Drosophila melanogaster: one gene and its partner. The protein of the gene in region 1 interacts with the protein of each later gene in a pairwise test. Each region holds a gene or a part of one and is shown on either strand. Other genes may lie near its edges.

Region 1 (4,312 bases):
AACGTGCCCAGAGGACCGCAACCCTATCGCCCGCACCACGGCAACCAGAGTCAGAACCCGAACTCCTGCGGCCACTGTCGATCGCAGAAGAAGCAGAAGAAGTGCGTCATTCAGTGATCTGGATGTCGTGCCACGGGAGAACGTTGGGATCCCAGCAGGCGCTACGCAGCAGGCTACACAGATTATAACGCTCACAACATGACATGACAGTACTCCCAAATTTCAGGTTAGCCAAATTTCCAGTTTCGACCTGTTTTCCGGGTCAATAAAGCCAATGTGACCGCTAATGGGTAAAGTAAAACAGGTGGTATGTGTGTGTTCCTTTAATACATCAGCGTCTCCTTCCGGACAGGGAACAGTCCGAGCGCCTACCAGGTGGGTCGGAGGCCAGCGCAGCTCAGCTCCGGGCAGGACATCTGCAACTGCCGCGGAAGCCAGCGGAATCCGGAGCGGAATCGCAGTCGCCACTGCTTCGTGATTCGCTCACAGCGGCCACCAAAGGGCGTGGCTGCGGAAACCCGGTGCTGCTGCACTCCTCAAGCGCCGATAAGCCGTAGTTTACCTCCGCCCACTAAGATCCGCCAGCGATGCTGCTGTGCCTTAGCTCCGGAGCCCGCAAGGCAAATGGTTTGCGACACCTCCGGGAACAAGCCGCAGAGATGCTGTACCAATTGCCCAGGAAACGGACATAGTGGAGCAGCTGCGCGGAGGACACGGGTGTATCATTCGGATCCATACCCCATCGGGTTAGGCGAGAATCGGAAAGTGGCTTTGGAGGAGCCAATTCTGCTGCAGCCGGACCCACATTCTGAGATTCCATGCAGCGACTCCTCGCGATCGTTTCAGCCCGCCGTTCACGCGATAAATGAAAACTGCCAGGAACCCCAGGATCCCTACTATCCGTATCCTCCCAGAAGCACGCGTCAGCGGGAAGTGGATCCTCTAGCCAACTTCGATCTGAATCGCTTCGACAGGGAAGCCATCCATCGAGGCCCCGCTGGCAGACGAAGAAACGTCTCCATTCGCACCTGCGTCGACTACGACTACGAGCCGGGATATCTAGCTCCAAGCAGTCCGCCCGGAAATCGACATCCACCAGCTCCATCCGGATATTCTCCGGCATACCCCCCTTCGTACGAACCTAATCCAGCCGGTTGTCCCGCGGCATCTTTGCCCAGAACTCGCCCACCAACCGCATCACTCCAGCGTCCATATTATCACAGAACTCATCCGGGATTACAAGGTTTGTATTTTCCAAGTTATCCAGGAGCAGGCGACTAATATTCCCTTTTTTTATTAAGAAAATACTGAATTCGATTACGTTAAATGTCCGTTTAGATGAAGGGCTAAAATATAACAAACCAATAGGTAAGTGTTTCATTTGATTATTATTTAACTATTTATAATTTAAATTTTATGGAATCAACTACTCTAATTGGATTAAATTATTTTAGGAAGACGTATAAATCAGATTTTAGTAGTTTAAACTTTAAAATATTCAAATAGTCTAACCTTTATACGAATTCCACCAATTTCAAATACTCGCGACACAGACGGCTATTCGATAAGTAATCACTTTTCCATTTGCCAGAAATGCAGCCCTGAAAGTTTGAGAAGCACTGGAAGTTCTGCGCACTGTGCTCCAGTGCTGAAAACCGCATGCAGCAGTGTGAAAGAAGAAGAAGACTGCGACGCGTGCAAAACACGCCGCACTTTACTATTTAATTTCGATTAAAACAATAGAAAAGCAGTGATGGATGATGCGGACTACGACAACGACGAGTAAGTGCAGGCGTAACACAATCAATAGCTGTGCCCATTAATCACCTACTTAACAATTGCAGCGTTGGCGGCGATGACTTCGACGACGTCGACGAGGACGTGGACGAGGACATTAACCAGGAGGAGGAGGCGGACAACATCGAGATCATAGCTCCCGGTGGTGCGGGCGGAGGCGGTGTGCCCAAGTCCAAGCGCATTACCACAAAGTACATGACGAAATACGAGCGCGCCAGAGTTCTGGGCACACGAGCGCTTCAGATCGCCATGTGCGCACCCATCATGGTGGAGCTGGACGGGGAAACGGACCCCCTGCAGATCGCCATGAAAGAGCTGAAACAAAAGAAAATTCCCATCATCATCCGCCGATACCTGCCGGATCACTCCTACGAGGACTGGAGCATCGACGAGCTCATCATGGTGGACAACTAGCTAGTACTCAACCCCTTTATCCATAATAAATCATACCGCCTAAGATTAAGCACAATCAATTTGGCTGCTGAATTCCCGGGGACTTAATGTAATGACGAACTGCAAGCGCTAATTGCTACACGATAGTTATCTTGTAAGCAATCCCTTTGCTTTAATATTATCTCTTAATACCGCTATAATCTGAAGTAGCCACAGATACTTGCTACCATGCGATTAGTACGAAAAACAATGACACCACGGGCTTGCTATTCTACTACAATATTTTATTTCACATAACAGACGTACAGATTAGGAAAACAAAGCTGCTCTAGTGTGAGGAGCACTTGGTGTCTAGCTCCAAGCATATCCCTCATCTCTTTGATAGCAAACGCGCTCTAAAAGACCTACGGCATGTTGGCCCGTGCGGCAGATGGAGCCAACTACTGCCGGCAGCAGACCACACTCCGAAAGATTCTGCTCGCCAAAGACCTGCCCGGCGGCATCTTCTCCTTCCGCATCTGACTGTGGCGTCTCCGGAGTTTCAAGCAGCTTTTGGGTGGCCTTGCTAAAGGCCAGCGTATTGATGCTGCTGGCCAGCGTGGAGCTAAACATCTGGCGCGTCTCGGACAGCAGCTCCGCCACACTGGGCAGGAATGTAGGTAGGATTAGGCCCTTAATGTCTATGCTAAAGTAGTCGACGCCATCCAGACGCACTTTCTTGGACCGCGGAACCAAGTGCTGCATGGTGGCCTTGGGGAAGGCCACTGGCGACAGCAGAGTGGGAGGCACTCCGGCCAGACGGCCCACTGTGCTGATGGCACTCTTGGCATTTAGCAGATAGCTAAAGAATCCCTGGCACTCCACGCCATCGACCAGCAGCAAGGAGTTGTCGCTAAAGTCCTCTCGCATTTCGGCAGCTTGTTGCTTCCTGGCATGGGAGGACTGGATACGTCGCAGCTCACGCTCATCCACGCCCAAGCTCTCCAGCCAGTCCTCGTCGTCGTCTTCATCTTCCTGTGCCGGCGGAGGAGCATCTTCGCCCGCTTCTGGACCTAGCGAGGTGGTAGTGCTCTCCTCGTTAAAACTGTTGTCGTGCGCGTTTCCACTGTTATCGCTCTTAAGAGGCATGCTGAACTCGATCCCCTCCTGTCGCAGAGCTTGCCGCATTCCCCGAGTCGACGGCGTGACCAAGGCGTGGCTCTCCGGCCGACCGCCAACTCCGGCAGCTCGGAACAGCACCGTAAAAGTGTTGGCACACAGGTAGAAGTACGGGCACTGGCGGGCACGCAGCAGCTGAAATAGGCCCCGGAAGCTGAAGTCCCACTCCTCGGCCAGGGCCTTGCGCTCCCGCTCACCCACCACCACGCCCACGTTCTCCTTGGCGGTGCGCGGGTAGAGCGTCAGCCAGGGCAGGTGCGGGTGCTGCCAGTAGTAATTGCATTGGTTGAACCGCGTTGCGTCCGAGATATCCAGCGTGCTCTCCGTTCGCTGCGGGTCCATGCAGCGCACGAAGCTGGTGAGTCCGCTGGCCAGCTGCGAGGTCTTCAGTTGGATGGCAGGCAGTTCCGTGGGACAGAAGAAACGGGCTCGCGTCTTCAGGGACCAGTCCACAGGTAGGTGGGCGGTGTGCTTCTGCCGGGCGGCCAACTCCGCATCGTCCTCGTCCTCAGCGTTGATTTGGGGATGCTGGAAGAGCTTGGCAAAGGCCTGCGGGTCGTACTTCTGGAGCACGAATTTGGCGGGCGCCGGGCGCGTGGGCGTTTCCCGCACAAAGCAGGAGGAGGCAGTGACCACTGGTTCGAGGTCCGCCAGTTGCGGATCAACGCGCAGTTTCTTGGCATCAGCTGTGGATCTGAGGCAGGGAGTCAGTAATTGGATTTTGGGGAGAGCGAGAGAGAGGGAAACTCACTTCGCAAACGGATTTTTTCGCTTCTGGGCGAGCTTAGCCTCCAGTAGCTTGCTTTTATCCGTCTCATCCACTTGGTGTCTTGGCCGCCTATTGTTGTTGTTGCTCACGCGGGCTGCCAATTTGTTCTTCTTCTGCTTGAGCCGCTGCAGTTTGATGAACTGGAAAACGAAACAACAACATTAGTGGCGGGCAGGTGCTCCTCCGAGTCCTTAC
Region 2 (4,681 bases), 380 kb from region 1:
AGGCAACCCTGCAGTCTACATGACTTTTTAGACAACTACATTAAGGACACATTCCTAACCAAAGGCCACAACCGCAACCTGCAGCTGACCATAGAGTCGCTGTCGAAGAATCAAGACGCATGGCGCACTATTATAAGTCCTGAGGAAATAAAGGCTCTTAATCTAAGCAGGCCGTTGCTGCAGTCTACTGTGATGGTCGAACGGAGGTTGATGGAAACTAAGAACCTCATTCAAGACTTGCCCTGCTACTCCGAAGACCTGCTTAAAATGGTGTGCGCGTTGTTGAAGGCCTATCGGGAAATATGTCAGGCGGCCTATCGCGGAATCGTGCAGCCAGATTCAGAGGATAAGAGAATTTACAGCGTGGCATGGCTTAAAGATGAAGATATCAGCAGGTTTTTAAAGTAAGTATAAAGGTATAAAAGCTACATGAATTTATAGTTTCTTCACTATTTAGAACGCTTCCCAACTGGACTGATTTAAAGACCTACAGTCAGAAGTCGCGCCACAACCGAAAACTGCATCGCGGAAGCTTTGAGCCGTCGGAGGAGGAGAGCCCGTTGCAGGTTCAGCAGCGCAACATCCGCGAGGCTGAAATGCTGACCAGTAATTTAGGCGAGGGTGGGATCACCCAACAAGAGATTTTGGTCGAGATCAGTGTGCTTAAGGAGCTGGCCATACTGCAGGAGAGCATGGAGTGGTTTTCGTGCCGAGTGTCGGAATTTGCCAACGACTTACGCCGGCCGTTGGTAAACGGACTTAACGCCGTTCCAGCTGAGTGCGGCGCCGACATTGCTGTGAAGGATGGGACGATCAAAGTGATGACTAATCTGGCTTTGGAGTTTGATGAGCTGGCGAACACCTGCCTGCTGGTATTGCATCTGGAGGTGCGCGTTCAATGCTTCCACTATCTGCGCTCGAAGTCGAGTGTAAGGACCAACAGCTATGTGGGCTCCAAGGATGATATCTTGGAGCCCGACCGCCAGGTGCAAGTTCTGACCAAACGACTGTCTGAGATGGATGAGGCGTTTAGTGCCACTCTACATCCGAGGAAGACCAGGGTAAGTTGAATATTCGTCTCCAGTTGCATTTTGCTCGAACGTATTCTTCTCTAGTACATTTTCGAGGGTCTGGCGCACTTGGCATCGCGCATTCTTATCCAGGCCTCCAATTATCTGGAGCACATAGATCAAATAACCGTGCAGCGCATGTGCAGGAACGCGATTGCCCTGCAGCAAACATTGAGTAACATAACTGCCTCCAGGGAAGTGGCTTTGGATCAGGCGAGACACTTCTATGAGCTGCTTTGCATGGAGCCAGACGTAAGAGTGATTGGCCCAAGTTTTGTAATTCACCTTTTTACTTAGAAACACTTTGCACTTACCCACAGGAAATACTCAATGCGTTGCTGGAGCGGGGCACTCAGTTCTCGGAAATGCAGCTGCTCAATGCCTTGCAGTTGTCCTGCAAGTCCTTCGGCATAACCGACGCCAATCTCCTCGCTTCCTATCAGCAGAAGCTGTCGGACATACTAGGCGCCAAGCCCTCGAAGGGAGTAGTTGTGTAGTTAGCGTGGCAGGCGGCGGGTAAAACCAATTTTAATATCCATACTTTTGTTTACATCGGCTGCAGGTGTAAGTGCAAATTGTATGTTAGTGTTAAGCTCAAAATAATTGCGAATGTTCTGAACATGATTGGCGAGCACTTAGTGTTGTAGCCGTTTGTAAAGATACATATTCTAAAGATCATTAACAGTACTTCAATGGCCTATACACAATAAATGAGAATTCAACAACGATGTTTTGACTGTATTAATTTGCTGCATCTAGTGTATCTAATTTTAACATTTTTTCAACTCAACCGGTTGCTAAACCGTTTCAGCAATGTTATTTAACAGGGTTTGAGTGCTCGCTAAATGGACTTACGAAATGAGTATGGAATTTTCGTGCAGCCCAGTCATGGTCACGCTGCCTCTCTGAAAAGCCGCAAGAAAATAAAAATAAATATATCTTTCTAGCTATTATTATTGTTGTTATTATTAACAAAAATGTCGGAAACAGTTGATAGCACAGAGGTAAAGTCGCCGTCGTACGACTTATCCAAGTTCCAACTGAAGCGAATCCTAACCAACAACAGCGTTAGGAAAAGTATATCCCTGCTTGGCACTTTTCCGGATTTAGGAACCGATGATGCCATTGTTGTTTTCGAGAAAAATGGTATAAAAGCGTAAATGAAAGCAACTAATGTTCGCTACAGTATAATCCTTACTAACCGCAGCGTACCGGGAAAGCGATGTGGCCACGGCGTCATCAGAAGAGTCTCCCAAGAAGCCTAGCTATTTTACCGCGGACCTGAAAGTTGACACTGAGTTTATCAACAATATCTACGGCAGTTTTCAGGTTGTGCCGACCCAGGATTTGTGCAGTAAATATTAGATTCATAATTCATACTGATAAATCATAGATTTTTATCATTCATTTCGCAGGTGTGAAAAGCACAGTCATTTATCCCGCCACCGAGAAGCACATCGAGAAATACTCAGTATCTCAAAAGTATCTCATCCGGGAGACTCCTGATCTCTACCAAAGAATAACTCTTCCATATCTCACCTCAAGTCAATTCTCCCTCGAGTGGGTCTACAACATACTCGAGCATAAGCAGGAGACGGAACGTATCGTGTACGAGGACAGGGATCCAAAGACTGGCTTTATCCTTCTGCCCGATCTCAAATGGGACGGACGCAATGTGGAAACCCTCTATCTGCTGGGAATTGTCCACAAGCGCGACATCAAGTCTCTGCGCGACTTGAATGAAAGTCATCTCGATCTTTTGCGCAACGTGCGCCAAGCGTCGAAGGACGCAATTGCCAAGCTATACGGCATTAATCCCAATCAGCTGCGCATGTACTTTCATTACCAGCCGTCCTTCTATCACCTCCACGTGCACATCAATCCAGTACGGAACGATGCACCGGGCATATGGTGCGAGAAGTCCCACATGCTGGACACGGTGATCAACAACTTGGAGCTGATGCCGGACTACTATCAGCGAGCCACCTTGCCGTTTGTCCTGTACGAAGGCAATAAGCTGTTGGATCTCTATGAGCAGGAGCTACCCATTAGAGCGCTGACAGTATCGAGCGACGATAAGGAGCTCCCTGACTCAGACTCTTTGAACGTCGCTCCACCGGAAGGCTTTAGCGATGAGGAGCCGGAGGAGAGGCAGTGCAAGCGCATAAAGTTGGGCTCGCCGGAGCCCAAGGAGGCCGAGTCCGCTGTTCAGGCGTGTGCCTAAACTGGTATTACTTAATGAGAAAGCTAACCCTAGATGTTGCCTATCAAAAATACATCCTACTTATGATCATTCAATTCAAAATAAAGTTATTTTCAAAAATTTCGTTTGAGAGCACTTGCTGGAAGTACACATTATTAATTGTTATAAAATATTCAGAATATTTCTTTTCGTTTCACACATTTAAAAACAGTCGCTTAAGAGAAAACGATTGAATTCTGAGTACCTCGTGAATAGTTGTGATGCCTCACTGCTTTGACATCATTGTAATGGGGTTCGCAAATAAGAATCATATATACACTATTTAACTTCATTTATTTTTTCATATACAAAAATCACGTCTGATCGCTATGACCGCAAAATTACAAGAGCGAAAGAAAGAATACAGTTCAGTTCAATTAGCATCGATATATAAAATGTTAATCCGCTGTTAAGACAGCTGAAGCACCGGGTGACTCCGCTCATAATCCGTACATGCCGCCCGCCAATGCGTCGTCCAGCATGAAGGCTCCTTGTGATTCTTGATCCGTGTGTTGATCATAATTATGTTGAAATCGGAAGTGGACAAAGCTTTGTGATTGACCTCTTTTGAATGCCAGATTTCGTCTTTAATGTAACCACTCTGACTAGCGAGTCCGATCCAGGGTGCAGTTCGACGACTCGGCCTATAGTCCATTTAGCTGGTGGTAGATTATCATCCTTTATAATGACTAAGTCGTTGATGTTAAGATTATCTTTGATTTGGCACCACTTTGGCCGAGTTTGCAAGTGTGATAACCAATCACGAGACCATTGAGACCAGAATTGTCGCGTCATGTGTTGTTGTGCGAGAAATAGTTCACGCAAAGGCTTATTATTCGGCCGACCTTGTGGCGGTGCCAGTAGTGCGTCACCAATTAAGAAATGTGCTGGAGTTAGTACTTCTAAATCGTCAGGGTCGGCGGTTAGCGGGCAAAGTGGACGTGAGTTCAAACATGCTTCAATCCTGATCAAAACTGTAGTAAGCTCCTCATACGTCTGCTTGTGGCTGCCGACGATCCGTTTAAGATGATGCTTCATTGCTTTCACGTTTGCCTCCCAGATGCCACCAAAATTGGGAGAATATGGAGGTGTGAAATGCCACCTTGTCCCATGTTGACATGTCGATTCGTTTAGGGCTGCCTTGCAAGTGATGGGCTGGTTAAGCGATGTACTCGCGCCAACAAAATTTGTGCCGTTATCACTATACATATGTTGAACTTGTCCTCGACGTCCGGTGAATCGCGTAAATGCTTGCAGGAAGTGCTCTGTTGAAAGTCCAGTGACGGCTTCCAAGTGGACCGCCTTGGTTGCTAAGCATATAAAAATGGCTACATAGCCTTTGTAGGTGGTTGATCCTCGTACACGCGCG

Evidence for each region. The genes of interacting proteins can lie anywhere in the genome.
Region 2: the proteins of Polr2F (region 1) and Dcps interact in a two-hybrid assay, tested with the Drosophila melanogaster proteins (one large-scale study listed by BioGRID).

Annotation. Positions count from the first base shown.
Region 1 is NT_033777.3:5,370,134-5,374,445, forward strand, and holds Polr2F (RNA polymerase II, I and III subunit F), read left to right. Parts: upstream 1-1,661; 5' UTR 1,662-1,753; coding exon 1,754-1,782; intron 1,783-1,844; coding exon 1,845-2,211; 3' UTR 2,212-2,264; downstream 2,265-4,312. Other genes in the region: CG31542 (uncharacterized protein), read left to right, coding at 1-117; CG34277 (uncharacterized protein), read left to right, coding at 287-290, 353-1,243, 1,302-1,342; hd (humpty dumpty), read right to left, coding at 2,542-4,042, 4,100-4,257. UniProt on the Drosophila melanogaster protein: DNA-dependent RNA polymerases catalyze the transcription of DNA into RNA using the four ribonucleoside triphosphates as substrates.
Region 2 is NT_033777.3:5,752,044-5,756,724, reverse strand, and holds Dcps (decapping enzyme, scavenger), read left to right. Parts: upstream 1-1,950; 5' UTR 1,951-2,047; coding exon 2,048-2,216; intron 2,217-2,277; coding exon 2,278-2,424; intron 2,425-2,485; coding exon 2,486-3,294; 3' UTR 3,295-3,407; downstream 3,408-4,681. Other genes in the region: Sec8 (secretory 8), read left to right, coding at 3-404, 458-1,061, 1,116-1,322, 1,391-1,567.